Schizosaccharomyces pombe: one gene and its partners. The main gene of each other region encodes a partner of the protein of the gene in region 2 in a complex. Each region holds a gene or a part of one and is shown on either strand. Other genes may lie near its edges. The genes, in order: SPOM_SPCC777.17C, mrpl31, mhr1 and mrpl10.

The links.
Region 1: mrpl31 (region 2) and SPOM_SPCC777.17C share a complex: the UniProt entries of both Schizosaccharomyces pombe proteins name them as parts of the mitochondrial large ribosomal subunit.
Region 3: mrpl31 (region 2) and mhr1 share a complex: the UniProt entries of both Schizosaccharomyces pombe proteins name them as parts of the mitochondrial large ribosomal subunit.
Region 4: mrpl31 (region 2) and mrpl10 share a complex: the UniProt entries of both Schizosaccharomyces pombe proteins name them as parts of the mitochondrial large ribosomal subunit.

Annotation. Positions count from the first base shown.
Region 1 is NC_003421.2:1,617,090-1,620,602, forward strand, and holds SPOM_SPCC777.17C (mitochondrial ribosomal protein subunit L9), read right to left. Parts: upstream 1,970-3,513; coding exon 1,880-1,969; exon of another isoform or gene 1,831-1,879; coding exon 1,755-1,830; exon of another isoform or gene 1,625-1,754; coding exon 1,485-1,624; 3' UTR 1,057-1,484; downstream 1-1,056. Other genes in the region: SPOM_SPCC777.12C (ER stress response thioredoxin family membrane disulfide oxidoreductase), read right to left, coding at 121-558, 679-957; retromer complex subunit Vps35, read left to right, coding at 2,467-3,513. UniProt on the Schizosaccharomyces pombe protein: Component of the mitochondrial ribosome (mitoribosome), a dedicated translation machinery responsible for the synthesis of mitochondrial genome-encoded proteins, including at least some of the essential transmembrane subunits of the mitochondrial respiratory chain.
Region 2 is NC_003421.2:886,310-889,918, forward strand, and holds mrpl31 (mitochondrial 54S ribosomal protein mL60), read left to right. Parts: upstream 1-2,276; 5' UTR 2,277-2,548; coding exon 2,549-2,896; 3' UTR 2,897-2,986; downstream 2,987-3,609. Other genes in the region: TIM23 translocase complex subunit Tim23, read right to left, coding at 1-424; oca8 (cytochrome b5), read right to left, coding at 1,097-1,246, 1,333-1,424, 1,931-2,078; ubiquitin hydrolase Ubp1, read right to left, coding at 3,128-3,609. UniProt on the Schizosaccharomyces pombe protein: Component of the mitochondrial ribosome (mitoribosome), a dedicated translation machinery responsible for the synthesis of mitochondrial genome-encoded proteins, including at least some of the essential transmembrane subunits of the mitochondrial respiratory chain.
Region 3 is NC_003423.3:1,799,545-1,803,714, forward strand, and holds mhr1 (mitochondrial 54S ribosomal protein mL67 ), read right to left. Parts: upstream 1,747-4,170; 5' UTR 1,715-1,746; coding exon 1,187-1,714; 3' UTR 669-1,186; downstream 1-668. Other genes in the region: vacuolar membrane cation-chloride cotransporter Vhc1, read left to right, coding at 1-668; SPOM_SPBC18H10.18C (uncharacterized protein), read right to left, coding at 2,812-3,149, 3,195-3,585. UniProt on the Schizosaccharomyces pombe protein: Component of the mitochondrial ribosome (mitoribosome), a dedicated translation machinery responsible for the synthesis of mitochondrial genome-encoded proteins, including at least some of the essential transmembrane subunits of the mitochondrial respiratory chain.
Region 4 is NC_003423.3:1,821,167-1,824,889, reverse strand, and holds mrpl10 (mitochondrial 54S ribosomal protein uL15m), read right to left. Parts: upstream 1,988-3,723; 5' UTR 1,955-1,987; coding exon 1,190-1,954; 3' UTR 933-1,189; downstream 1-932. Other genes in the region: Nop52 family nucleolar protein, read right to left, coding at 1-77, 134-241, 286-328; U6 snRNP-associated protein Lsm3, read left to right, coding at 2,217-2,234, 2,276-2,368, 2,439-2,456, 2,511-2,625, 2,727-2,764; translation elongation factor EF-Tu Tuf1, read left to right, coding at 3,481-3,615, 3,667-3,723. UniProt on the Schizosaccharomyces pombe protein: Component of the mitochondrial ribosome (mitoribosome), a dedicated translation machinery responsible for the synthesis of mitochondrial genome-encoded proteins, including at least some of the essential transmembrane subunits of the mitochondrial respiratory chain.

The DNA of each region.
Region 1 (3,513 bases), 730 kb from region 2:
AACAAATAGGGTATAAACCTTTACTAGAGCGGTGCCTTACATATAGAACATGTAACAAACTCTCGTATAATTATTCAAAAAATTGATATTATCAAAAACTAATAGTATTTTCCACATAGCTTATTTCTTTTTTGCAGCGGCGGCGGCAGCAGCAGCGGCTTGTTTTTGTTTCGCTTTTTTGCTAGAGCGATACATTATGTAGGCAGAGATCCCAAAAATAGCTACATTCATTCCAAGAGGGGTGTATTTTTGACTTAAGTGTCCGTAAAGTGCAAGTGCCTTTCCAAAGACCCAGTAAAAGGACTTCAAGGGCCCGTTAACAGAGAAAAAACCTTGCTCTTTTTTCATACTTTTGAACCCGTCTTTTTCATATAAGGCGATTGCCTTGTTCTTGGGAAGAACCTGAGGAGAAACACGGTAGAAATTTTGATTATCGATGAAATAATAAGAAGGAATCCGAGAAATGAGTAAGCGTACAGAAAGTTCGAGGCTACTGCTCAAGTAAACACGGGCAAAGTGGACATCCGGATATTTTTCATGAAAAGCATGCGAAAGGTCCTAAAATTAGTTAGTACAGATTCAATTAAATCCAAAGATGGTTTAATTTATTTCCGAGGCTCAAAATTCAATCTCATAACAAGAGCATTTGGACAACATTAAATGCAGTCCATTACTTACGTTAAAAAGTAGCTCTCCAAGAGTACAGTTAGCACAGCCTTCAGCAGTCAACTGCACAAACCATTTGCCAGATTCAATGACATGATCCCAGGTTTTATCTGAAAGTTCGACAACGGTGGAATTGTCAAAAGCGCAAACTGGGTCTGTGTTGTATTTTTCATACGGTACCTGTAAGACATTCATAGCTTCAATGGCAGCTGATTCATCTCCTTCACAACTATAAGCTGCCACGAAATGCAGAAGTTCAAATAGAAACACAAAAAACAAATTAATTTTCATTGAAGCTGAATAAGGTAATGAAAAATATTTTCTCTGCTGCTTTAGCAATAATAAACACGAGTTATGAGATGATTTTGGATCCAACTCAAAATAGTTGGTAGCTGTGAGAAGAAGATGCTAGACGAGCTGATAGAGCAGAAACGATGGCCGCACAATACGCAGTAAACGTTTACCATTCAAGGATTTAAATTTCATATTAACTATACTATTATAGGAAAATCCAAAGCTTGTTATTGTAATTGAGAAACACTAAGCATCAACCCTGATAAAATATTACAATAACGATAATATTCAAACTCAGAAAGAGACTACGCTTCTAGTGAAGCCTTTTAATTAAATTTTTTATATTTTTTTATAGAAAAAAGTCAATGCTGAATACTTCGTAATTCTTGTTAGTAATGTAACAATATCTCGTAATGAAAAGCTAGAATTGTTCAAATTGCAGCTAGCTAAGCCTTAATTAATCCACTAATAAACTCAATAAATTCTTTTTATGTTGATTGAACTAAGTGAGAGTTTAGGTATTATTATTCCTTCGTTTTCGTCGAGAATTCGGACCCTTGTAACAAATGTGCTTTCATAGATTTTAAGGCATCAACAGCAATCGCTTGCTTCTTGGGGAAAAGTGTATTTCGATAATATCCCCTTGTCACTGAGACGACATCACCTTTTGTAAAGTTAGTAGTTTCCTACGACGGCTAAAAGAATGCATTTCTTATAATAAAAGGATGTAACCACTACCTCCCTATTATAGGTTTGAAATGAAGAACATTATAATTATGAAAAATTTAGCATACCTTGCCTTCCTAGCTTTGAAACTTCGTTGTTTAACAGTTTTACCAAAAACGGTTTTGGCTGTTTACGAAGAAACCTCTAAATAACTGTGTAAGTAACGGTGATTTTTTTTATAAGCTTGACATACCAGTTGCCCATAAATTCTTTGAAAAGGTGAGACTGCTAGTTCAAGGGAATTGAAGCGAAAAAATCGAGTTGTCGGTTTCATAATACTCATTTCAATTAAATGGGTGCACCAAGAAATCCGTCAAGAAAGTTTTTACAAAATAAAAAGAAAAGCAGCTTAAATAAATTCTCAATTGAATGTAGAATTCAAAAACCGTTAGTTTAGAGGTCTAAGACGAATCTTGTAGTGTGAACCTTTCCGATGATTAGATTTATAGTTTCTTTTAATTGTTATCAAAATAATATACTATTTAGGCGCGATATTTGTGATATGAAAATGGTCAATTTGAAATTGAGCGAAGCGCGATTCCAAGCTGTGCTGCGCGCAATACTTCAAGATCTACCAATATATCTCAACCAGTACCACCAACTTTATTTGTAGACATTTCAACGAACCCATTATAAAAAACATTGCTAATATTAGTGAATTAAAAAGAATAACAAACATCCTGTTTTTCTGTTCGAAAGTTGGGCCGCTAGTAAAACTATACTGAAATTACAATTACGTTGGTTAAATTGAAACACTTGGAAGTGGATATTTAGGGCTCTATGAACGGAATTAATACTGCTAACGAAGAAATTACAAGGAGCTTGGAAGAGTCCTTAAATATTTGCAAGCAGTCTAGTAGGCTGATGCAAAGAAACTTGCAGACAGGACGATTGATGGATGCATTTCGTAATTGCAGTATTAGTCTCGTGGAAATGAGAAATTCTGCACTTACTCCAAAACAATACTATGAGCTGTATATGTTTAATATGGAAAGCTTGCGTTTACTTGGGGGCACATTGCTGGAAACGCATCTGAACGGTACTCACAACCTAATGGACCTTTATGAACTTGTTCAATATGCCGGTAGTATTGTCCCTCGTTTATATCTCATGATAACCGTTGGAAGCGCTTATTTGGAAACGCCTAATGCCCTTGTACGTGAAATTATGAATGATTTGTTAGATATGTGTAGAGGTGTTCAGCATCCGTTAAGAGGTCTTTTTTTGCGCCATTATCTGCTTACCCAAACAAGAAAAGGATTACCTTTGGGATCAGAAGATGAGGAAGATGCATCTCGCAAAGGAACCGTACTCGATTCTGTTAAATTTTTAGTTATCAACTTTACGGAAATGAATAAATTGTGGGTTAGAATCCAACATCTTGGTCCAATTAAAGAATTTTCCAAACGTACCCAAGAAAGGAATGAGCTAAAGGTTCTTGTTGGGCTGAATTTGGTTCGATTATCTCAGTTAAACCTCGATATAGACACTTACCGAGATCATGTCCTTCCTGCCATAATCGAGCAAATTATTGAATGTCGGGACTCACTTGCACAAGAGTATCTTGTTGAAGTAATTTGTCAGGCGTTTTCTGATAATATGCATCTTCAAACCCTCGATACATATTTCGGTACGGTCATAAAGCTTTCTCCAAGCGTAAACGTAACCCAACTTGTGGTCGCTATGTTGAATCGCCTTACGGACTATGTCCAACGTGAATATGAATCTGATTCTTCTAATGAAGATGAATCTGAGACTGTAACCGAAAAATTAGGAGACATAAAAATTAATGAGGAAGTACAGCAAAAAGACGAGCAAGAATGCCCT
Region 2 (3,609 bases):
CAAGCACACCCAAGGAATTACCAACGAAAGGACCACGTCGTGTAACACCGTTCAAAATACCATTAAGGCGCAACCGTGTGGAAGTAATATCTTTAGTTTTCTTCATGCCTTCATTGAGACCCCAGAGTCCACCAATCGCCAATCCACTTAAATAAGAAGTTCCAGTACCGTAACAAAGATCATCTTGCCATCCGCGAGATGGGATAGCCATGCTATCGCCTGGAAGAGTAGAAAGAGCATCTTCCTCAATCAATAAGTAATCCAGAGGTTTATCTAAATCAGCGAGGGGATGTAACTTGGCGGGATCGAATTCAGAACCCGATAAAATATCTGAGGCTGTAGCCTCGGTAGGGACCTGCAATTCAGAAGAATCAATCTTTGAGGTTGGTTCCTCTTCTTTATTTCTTGTAAACAACCAAGACATATCTTAAAAAGTTGATTTTTCGCAAAGGCGCGATGGTGGTTGTCTGCAGGTAGCGGTGGTTACAGGAACTGTGTATTAGCACCTAAATTAAAATAGTAGAAAAAAATTGTTGAGACGTAAAAAGTGTCGCAATTATCATGAATTTACATTTATATATAAAAAAAAAGACTTAATGAATAAATCCTCGATCGTTAAATAACGCCCGAACTTATTTACTCGATCACCGCTTAAAATTCTAGACAAGTTGGGCATAGGTCCATCGATAAAACAATAGAATAGAAGAAACTATAAAACTTTTTTTTATGAGAGAACAAACAACGAAAATACAAAAAATATAACACTAAGTATTATCAATTATACAGTTACGCAAAGCAAGCATAAGACCGTTGTGAATTAAATTTACGTCCAGACAAATCAAAGGTCTCTATTAATATTAATATGCCATTCACATTAAGAGCCAAACCAAAGCGTGTTAAAGGAATACATTGAATCCGTAAATATCCTAAGTACGAACAGGTAAAGAAAGCTAAAGTAGATATCTAACAACAACAAAAAACGAAACTTGCTAGCTCAAAATCACAAAACCATATTCAGCACATTTAAACGACCCAAAACGAAAGAAGGCCTTTAAATTTCTTTGAGCGCAAAAGTAAGACTGGGAATTTAAGCAGTCTATTTGAGGACATACTTGCGAAAAGCAAAGTAAGCAACAACCATCACAAGGACAAAGAGCCACATAGCAGGCTTAACTGGTTGAGAAGAATCATATCCACTTCCACCAGCGGCAGCACCAGTTGTGGGAAGCTGAGGGCCATCTTCAGTCTAAAATATGTTAGAGTGTCGAAGCAAATTTTTACAAAAATTTTAACGAGCCTATGGCGAACGAAGAGAAAAAATAAATGACATACTCTGAGCAAGTTTCCAATGTAAAATTTTTCGAGCAACTCCTGAGCATCCTCAGAGTGACCAACATCCTCGAAAGGACCGCTAGCATCACGACCTAAAACAAGTTAATAATCACAGAAACGAACAAAAAAAAGCCCCTAGCGATGGTAGAGAAAGGCAGAAACTTTGTATAGCCAATCCAAAAGCCGTATGTGAAGAATCGAAGCGATATCGTCAATCAATCTTTCCAAAATTATGTATTTCAGTGTATTCAGAGTACTGGAAATACAAAACATCGAGTAGAGAGCGATCAATCTTGGAACATATAGACTGTACTTAACAATTCACCTTCAATGACAATGTCGCATTAAACATCGTATTTATTCAGGATATCGCATCTATTTTTGTACGTTCCTACGGCAAAGATTCGTCCTGAATCTTTCAAATTAAAGAACATGTGTATATGCGACACCTAAACTCTCGTGAAATTCAAAGTTTTGTAACGCTAGTTGTCTGAAACTTCGATTTCTACGACTCCACACAATCGCGACCAATTTTTATGCATTACAACCAATCTTCCTCAAGACCTCCATTATCGCGTACCCCTAAAAATTTACTTACCGGCCAAATCAACAAGAACCTCTTCACCACCAGGGTGAGCGTCAAGGAACTTGGAAATATCATACACCTTGTCTTTTACAACAATGTACAAATCATCACGAGTGTTATGTTTTAACACTTCTTCAACAGTAATTGTCTTCTCTGCCATGATCAAGTTCTGCTTATTCTTCCTTAAAGGTGGTATTTAACGGTTATAACCCAGGAGCTAATTACTCTCGAGATGTTGGTTGCAAATGCCCTATCGCGATTTATCTAGCAGGTGGGAAGTAGAAATGAGCCGATTCTTACTGGCAGGTGGTCACGTGGATTCGAGTTGGAAGGTACACCCAAGGATATGAACTTACCCAAAACCTATATCATTCTTCAGTTAACCAACTCCACCATTTTGGAGGTGTAGTGTTTATATTTGAATGGCAATATAATATTTAAATCAATTTAGGACGCTAATCAAGTTAATTTTTGTTCACATCTTTGCTGTTTCGTTGGAGCCGTAAACTACTTTGTGACAAACCATCAACTACTCAGAATTTGTCTATCACCCAAAAACTTAACAAAAAATTTTTATTTGCTCTTTTTGATCCAACCTTCTTCCTCTCCTTTTGATTTTATACGAAAAATATGCTGGGTGCATTTAACTCGACTTTGGCTCGCTTTGGCGGTCTTGTTCATAAAGTACCTTGGAGATTATCCCAGCGAAGAAAATATCGTCACCGTCAACGACTTCGTGCCGTCGATGAGGTGGTAGATGTTTTGCGCACGGCGTTGCAAGAGAAAAATCAATCGTGCAAACGAATTGAAAGTTTCGTTGCTAACCATCAGCCTGAATCCCAAATGTCACCAAAGGATAAATACACTATGTTTACCAGGAAGACTCAAGGTGCCGGTCTCCAAGGCTTCCGCAAGGGTGTCCATAAATCACCAAAATGGACCCGTAGTACTAATCGTGTTAATCCCACTGGCTTTTAAAAACGTCTGGTTGCAAAAGTTTACTACTTTTTTTTTCATAATTTTAATGCTCTATGAATAATAAATGTAATGGATTATTTTAATAGCTTATTTTATTACTTTTTTATTGCAAAAACTCCCACCTCTTCCTCGTCTTCGTTCATATTCAATTTCCAGTTTCATACATATTCAAACAAACGACATTAGCCTTTAGTTAGAGTAAAGTTCATATCACCTCTATTATACGTCTCTTTAATTCTTTGCTCTGTAAAACAATACATAAGCAGACGATGTGACAATATCCTCCGGATCTATTTCACAAATAGCTGTATCATCAAACTTAAAGAATGTTTGGCTCGATGCATCTCTTGCATAGGCAGTATAATGACCATTACTCATAAACCCGTGATGATTGTCCACTGCATACAAATCGTAAAGCATCGATTTCTGTGACGATAGCCACTCATGATCTTTTATAAATGGACTCAAAAATTGCTTCAAATTGAGATCAAATACTGGATAAACTACTAAATCCCTTCGTTTACGTCTTCTCCGCAAATCTCCACCGTGGCCGCTGAATCGATTTAAATGAATGACTAGTATTTTTGGCAATCGCCAGATCTCCAGCCGTTTTGTTGCCGGTCGAAATGCCTTACACCCAGGACAATACCAGGAATCCTGTAAATCAAGCTGCTCTGGCTTGGAAAACTCCAGTAAACAATCTTCAAGGGTGA
Region 3 (4,170 bases), on a different chromosome or scaffold from region 2:
ATAGGTACATTGTCAAAAATGAGCATGTGAGACCTAGCAAGTCTTCCGAGCTTGAAAACTTACTGAAAGATGACTCGTGGTGGCAGGAAGAAAAGAAAAGAAGAGGAAATACTGTAGATTCCTTAGGACCTATTCGTTTTCCACGTCGTATGTCTGGTTATAACTTTAGATCTGCCAGCTTTGATAAGAGTGCTCCACCTTTAAGTGTGCCATTGAGTTTCCGCCTTGGGCCACATATGCATTCAGTAAAGTCGTTTGAGACTGAATCTTCTTTCGGAAACCGTTCTTTATCACCAAAACAAGAAAATAGAAGAACTTATTCTGACAGTACTATTGAGTCATCTCTGATGCCCAACGTGGTCCGAGAAGATAGTTCATCTGATAGACTAGCACCAAAGAAAAAAATAGGAAGGGACTATTCTAAAGAGAAGTTGACGTTTAACGATTTATCCTCGAGATCTCAATACATAATTATGAATGAAATCGTGCTGAAACATACTAAAAATACTTCTGTATTGTTTACTGTTTTACCAGCACCTTTGGCCGACACTCATAAGAGCTTTCGAAAAAGCGAGGAATATGTTGATGACTTATTAATATTTATGGAAGGATTACCTCCTTGTGCATTAATCCACTCTAAGAGTTTAACTATAACTACCGCTCTTTAACGATTTATGGTATTTATGTCTTTGGTTTATAAAGTCTTTTCTTTTGGCATTGTTATAACTATTTAAATATTTGGTCCATGATTTCTATTTTAGATGCTAATATTTTTTTTTTATTCTGGACCAAACTTTAAACAAAAAAAAAACGAGGCAATAAAGTGATGAGTTAATCTTGCATATATTTCATAGGAGCTCGAAAACTTCAAAATGGTAAAATAATAAAGATACGAGTATTTGGTGTCGATTTGTATTAAATTTATCTTGTCTTGAGTATCTAGCCAATACTCTCGCATTGAAGTACAATGATAAGCTAAGGAAGCTGTCCAGTGCAATACACTGGATACACTGGGAAGAATTCGTAACCGTCTTTAGTAAAAAGGACTTTATCATTAAGTAAAAAAGATTGAGCTAATATGAATATGTGTTAGCTTATACTTCATATAATGCCCTTTAAGAAAGCCTAAAAATGGATGAGGGGTGTTTTTGAAGGAAGAAAGTGAGAGAAGTAATGATATTATGCTTCATCTAGCTTCGTCTACGGTTGTTTTTTCACGGAAACCTCGCGAGAGTTTAATTTCCTCTGAATCAATCTGCACACTAGGGGGCCAATCTGCATATTCACTATCGGATTTATCACTCAGTTGCAAACGAACGGAATTTTCGGGAAATTTTTCTTTATTTAAAATATCTGCCAAGTCCGCAATCGTGTTAGGAACCTCTTGTCGCATTATTTTTCTTCTACGAACGGGTATAGGCAATTTCAAAAGGTCACTAGTCAGTGGTTGAACAGAACGATATTTTCGATAGTTTAACAGTTGCATAAAAACAGATTGAAACATTGATTCATTAGGAAATTCGACTTTTAGTAAAGGAACCCAATGGTCTTTACGGAGCTTAGCGGGTCGCATACCATTTGGAGCGACTGGCTTTTGAAGTGGGTAGGGAAGTTGAAACAACGCAGTCTTTTTTAAAACATTTCCTTGAGATAAAAGTACCTGATTCGTTTGAATATGCCTAAATATATAGAGATACTTGTTCTTTTCAAGCATTCTTTCCTTTTACGAGTACAGATTGGCTGTTTACATATATGCTTGTAAGAGATGCGAAGTTTGTTAATAGCGCGTCCGCGTATAAACGTTGTGCCCAATAAACACATATCGTTTGCTAGCACAGATGTTAGGCAGCATTGCGCGTTGAGCAGCCAAAAACAGTAAATGTTTTAATGATACGGTGAGTGACGGAAAATTTGAATACTGGTCAGCTACGCAGTTTAATATCTATTTAAAGTGTCGCTCACGTATTTCGGTATCTGCTTAACGATACTTAAAGTGCAATGAATCTCTCTGTGACCTAATATATTATGTTACACAGTTAATATAAGCAGCAATTTCAATGGGTGTTCTCTGAAATAAATTATATTGTTACCTATGGACATAGCAAAAAATATTACTTTTCGCTTGGGCTGAATGTTGGTAGATTTTGAATACGAAAGATTTCATATAATACAAATTGAATAATTTTTTAATTCTTTTTGTAAAGAAATTGCTACTGACCAGGAATTGGGAAATCGCATTATTTAAAATAGGTTTTCGCTCTACACCAAATTGATTTTTCATTTTTATTTGTTTTAGAAACAAGTTTGAACTTATATTTCCTGTATATACTGTATTTTAAAGCTCCGAACACTTGAAAATGATATATGGAATCCTCATTTTATGCATTAAACAGAAACTAAGGTTAAATCACTACTTTGCGTCTTTTGAGTAATGCCTTACTTGTTCAATTTTTTAATTCGCAAATCTTACAAAGTCATAATTAAGGATTGTATATCAATTTGGTAAAACAATAAAGAGGATGATTAATTTATAATTGACAACCAGATTCATTAGTTAAATGACTTTTCCTAGCACCACAGAAACACATCGTGTTTACTCTATAACAGAGACAAAAATGTATGTATGGAAAAAGAGTGATGACTGTCATCGGAAATGATTAAGTGACAATGCGTATAAGGTAATAATACAAGAAATAGAAATAAAGGGGAAAAAAGGAGCTTCTGCAGGAAAGTAAGAAAATTAGTAATGAAATAAAAAAGACACTCGCAGCTGGTTGGCAGCCCCTTGATTTTTTTTTCTAGCCATGACTTTTAGCTGCTGCCCGATTCTACATCTTTAGAAGTGTTGCAATCGGTTCCCTCAGCCATTGTGTTGTCACTTGCTGGCTCTGTGGTAATTGCTTGGCCTCGCATAGACGACATTTCAACGTCGCCAGTCTCTTCATCTTGTTCTATTACTTCGAGCCCGAGAATAAACAACAGTAAGGATAAAATAATATGAGCCAAACCTTGAATTGCTTTAGCTACATATTTAACTAGGCCTGCAATCGTTTTAGCTACATGTTTAGCTAGACCTTCATTCGCTTTAGCTACAGATGGTGCATAAACATAAGCTTCTTCAAACGCTAATTTAATTAACGAAAATGAAACTAGAAAATCGTTAGCCATGAATTCAAATCATCTCAAAAACTTACAATAAACAATAATCACTGTCATCACGTATGTAAATATTAACACTATAGTTTCAATAACATATTTAACCACAGAATTAAGATCCGCCAATGCCTGATCGAAATAATTATAAAAATTATGATAAAGCAATAAAGTAAGAATGAAAGGAAGGAAGATATGAAATATCGCATATCTAGCTTGTGTAAGTCGCACATTTTCCGAACGCTTTCTTAATCTAGCAGGTGCAGCCATTGTATTTTTTTTTCGTAACGATGGTTGTGTTAATGTTGAGTTTTGTTTGACAATTGGATTGTTTACATGATTATTGACTGAATATGAAGGACAAGAATGTAAACAACCCTTCTCCAAATCATTCCAAACTTCATTGTATTGAGGTAACTTTTCGTCTGGCATTTTGAAGAGCCTTTTACCAATAGTGATTATATACGTTTGAGTTCCAACTTGAACATTGCAAAATAAAATGCGAAATTAAAATATAAAATAGATAAATAGATCAAAACCAAACACTTGAATAGCCTAAAAATCCACGCGTTCTAAGCATCCAACAAAAAGAGATGGCTCTTGTTAAGGAATGAAATTGAATCATTGTGCTGTCAATATCAATTTACGCACAAGTTAGCATTAATTAGGCACTGCGTACCAATACGCTATAATAGCGATGCCTTGCTTCGTTTTATCATACTTTGAAAAGTATGCAACACTAGTTATTAGACAGTGGGCTACACTAAAGACCGCTATAATGTTTTTGCATCGCGAGTTACTATTATGTTACATGTTTTATTTACTCTACTAGTTTTGCATGAATAGTTTATCCAAGATATTAAATTACCAATTATAATAAGATATTTACCAGTAACAATAATACTGATTTTGAATACTATAACTTGAAAATTGAATTGAGGAGCGAGGTTCAGCCATGAGCTATATCAGCGTTAGGTTACAAACAATACCGACATCAATAACTCAGGTTACTATGTA
Region 4 (3,723 bases), on a different chromosome or scaffold from region 2:
CCAGACAATTGGAACCAACGCGGCTAAATTATCTGAGAGTTTCTGTTGGTATAAGGGTTTATCAGCCATCCACATGCCTGCATATTAAAAAACAATTAGATGATTTACATTCATAACCCAAAAAAATTCATACAGTAAAATAAGCCCTTCCAAAGCTTGAGAAAGTCTAACCTTTCAAATTTTTTCTTTTGGCTTAAAAACCGCTGCAACGATTCAAGAGCCTTATCACGAGTTTTTCGATCTTACAGTGTTAGTACATTAATCATTTATATGTAAGAAATTTACCATTAGCTGCAAGTTTCTTAATAAACGGCGACGGAGCCGACATTGTTGGTTTATTGACAAAGTGTTGAAGCAGTTCTTAGCATCGTTCCTTCCATACTGCGTTTTAGTGCACTAATTGGAGAGTTGATAAATGTCCCTTTCTAATATATGAAATAAGGAGTTTCCCAGTCAATATGTATTATTTTTTTTAGAATTGACCGTTTATGTAGATTAATTGATCATAAGGTTAATGTACTACTATGGTTCGCTTACACTTCTATTACAAATGCCGGTTTTCTTAGTCATTCTTATATATAAGTCTTTAACCGTTCCATTGATCAACAAATGTTCTTTTTCTTCTTCCTTGCATGCCTTTGAAAAGGAGATCCTTTGAAAGATCTTTTCCTGTTGGATAGACAATCGGAGGATGAAAAAATTTTAAGAAAGCTTTAAACAAAAAAAGGCAAAAGATAATAATTTAACAAACAGTCGGCAGGGGTTCTTGATTATACAAAAAAAGTGCATGACTGCGAATGCTCAAATCTACTAATGAAGCAAATGAATAAATGTGAGAAAGGGTTTATCTGACAGAGAATGAACTGACTACAACAAGGGGATTTGGGGGATAAAGAAGGAAGCTATATTTTCGAATGAGAAAGGTATTCAAAATATTACTAATGGGTATTGAACTGTAAGCGAAAAAGTCAGTAGAGAGCTCAAACACCGAAATTGGAAACGTAATTATACAAATGTACTAAGAAAAGGATGCAGATATTTCCTTACAAAACTCAACATGTAACCCATCCAAGAAAGTAAAGGAGGCTGCACGGAATCATCAATAGACATAACAAAGTTTTAAGGACATATTAGGAAAGCGGGATTTTTGATGAACATATATCAAGTTCTGATGTAATATGGGAACTACTTATTTATCTTTAACAATCGGTTCGTAGGGGAATCGTTGGTCGCCATAATATAGCTCTCGAATATTTTTAACGTTGGCAAGATACCCTGCAAAATGTGGATTTGTGTAGTAGCGTATGTCTTTCTTTGAAACTGGAAGGGGAGGGCGAGGAGGTGTACGAAAACTTGAAGGATGCAAATGGGCACGTAGCGCCAACGGGCTGAAATATACTGTTGTTATACTGCCGCCTGCATTTTTGATTTGTTGTATAGCTTGAACTGTAGCCTTAGAAACTTCTATGGAAATTGCTGTTTTAAGGAGTCCAGGTTCGTCAGCAGTAAGTTCAACTCCATGTTTAATACCTCTACAGCATCTACTATCGAGGAGGTCTTTCATAGTAATTGTCTTGCTAGCATCCAATCTACCACGATCAATCCATTCCTGAACTCTCCCTAACCCCAGACGCAACGGTTTCTTCAAATGTCCCGTACTGTGACCAACTTTAGGAAATAATTTGGTGATAGGAGTTTGACCACCTTCAAAACCAGGTTTAATTCTCCGTCCACGCCTTTGACCAGATCCTTTATGACCACGTCCAGAGGTTTTTCCTAAACCGCTCGCAGGGCCTCTACCCACTCGCTTCTTTGACTGATAATTTGCACTGTTGTTTAAATCATTCAACATACTGATGCCGCGGAAACTAGCACCAAATCTTGGATAACCAGAGGATCTCAAAAAACCATGAAATGAAGAACTGCGACAAACCCGAGATAAAATATTAAACATTTTCCAATTCAAAAAACGGGTTTCGTCGAGTTTAGATGGTAATAAGTCCAAGGCTGCTGTTTACTATTACAAAAGATTCGGACACACACGAATACGTAAAATTCTATAGCGTCTCATAAAAATATCTTTATTACTATATTCAGCATCGCTGCACTGCGCAATTCGAATTTGTTTCCTCCTTTATTTCTTCCTGACATATGCCAGTGCATAATTGCAGCAACAGCGATCTTGCTTGGTAGATATAATAACCCTTTACTTTATAATGGAATCGGCACAGGCAGTAAGATTTATCAACAGTAACTCGGTAACTAATGTTTGTAGGTCGCGGAACCTCTTGATTTGGTGAGGCTTTCTTTGGATGAAATCGTTTATGTAAAATTACGGGGAGATAGAGAATTAAATGGCCGTCTTCATGTATGAAATTTTTTTAACGTTTCTTGAATATTTTTCTTATTCTGAATTGGTTATACTAACTCGATTGTAGGCCTATGATGAACATTTGGTATGAATCATATTCATAACTCGCATTTGGATGGATTACTTACACGTATTTTAGAATATGGTACTAGGAGATGCTGAAGAAATTGTAACTATTTTTGATGATGAAGAGACCGATAAGGACAAGGCCTTAAAAACGATTCGCAAACATTATGAGATGCTCTTTGTTCGTGGTACGTAGATTCTAAATATTACGCTCGAAAAGTTTGACCATGATTAAGCTTTCCTTTTCGAAACTGTTTTTCCTTTTTCGCCAAATGCTAATGAACTTTAGGTGATTCGGTTATTTTGATTGCTCCACCTCGTAATTAAAGGAACGAATAAAATTACTATACAAAGCTATCTACATATTTTTATCTCATTCTTTTGTTTAAAATTTTTCGCTTTAGAGGTGCTTCTTCGTACAATAGTAACGACTTTTGATTTGAGTATTCTATATTACAGAAAAGTTTGATTTTCCTTTATTCCGTTGGATGGATAGTTTTATCTTTCTTTAGTCACGCACCACTTCTTGTTATTCCTTACATCCTTTTACTTAATAAAAGCAAAAGACTCTTCGAAGTTAACCAACATTCACGAGACGCTGAGCTTTGTCATTGAGACTTTTCATTAATGGTTTTATTCTTTGTACTTGACAGGATAGTAAGCGATTTTTGCTTGCATGGTGGTTGCTCTTGCGATCTAGCAAAATCAGATTGACATTCCTTTAGAGATCAGAGACATAATACCATTCATTGTGCAAATAAAAAAAAACTATCAATTGCTTTCGATTTGGCGGTGTTGTTCACTAGTTCATCTAGTATTTTTTTATTATTAACAAGCGTATCATCATATATAGGCGTAGCGGTAAAATAGAACAAAATAAAATAAATTCTACAAATATTGATTGTATCCAAACACCCAGGACCATTTATTTCATGAAATGCTCGTGTCAATAGTATTCTCATAACGATGCGCACCGCTGAGACTTATTTCAAGGACAACACGAGCGCCAGAGACCTCTCCTCTGCCTACACGCTCCCTTCGTTATGAATTCAGCTAAAGCTACCTCTCTCCTCTTTCAAGGCTTTAGAAAAAATTGCTTGCGATTGAACCGCATTTCTTTCGCTTCAGGTTTGATTAACCGGTTCACCGTCCCAGCTCGAACTTATGCTGACGAAAAGGTATTTTTTTTTCATTCTTCATCTTTTTGATTACTTGTTAACTTTTTTAAGGTGTTCGTTAGAAAAAAGCCGCATGTCAATATTGGTACTATTGGTCATGTTGACCAC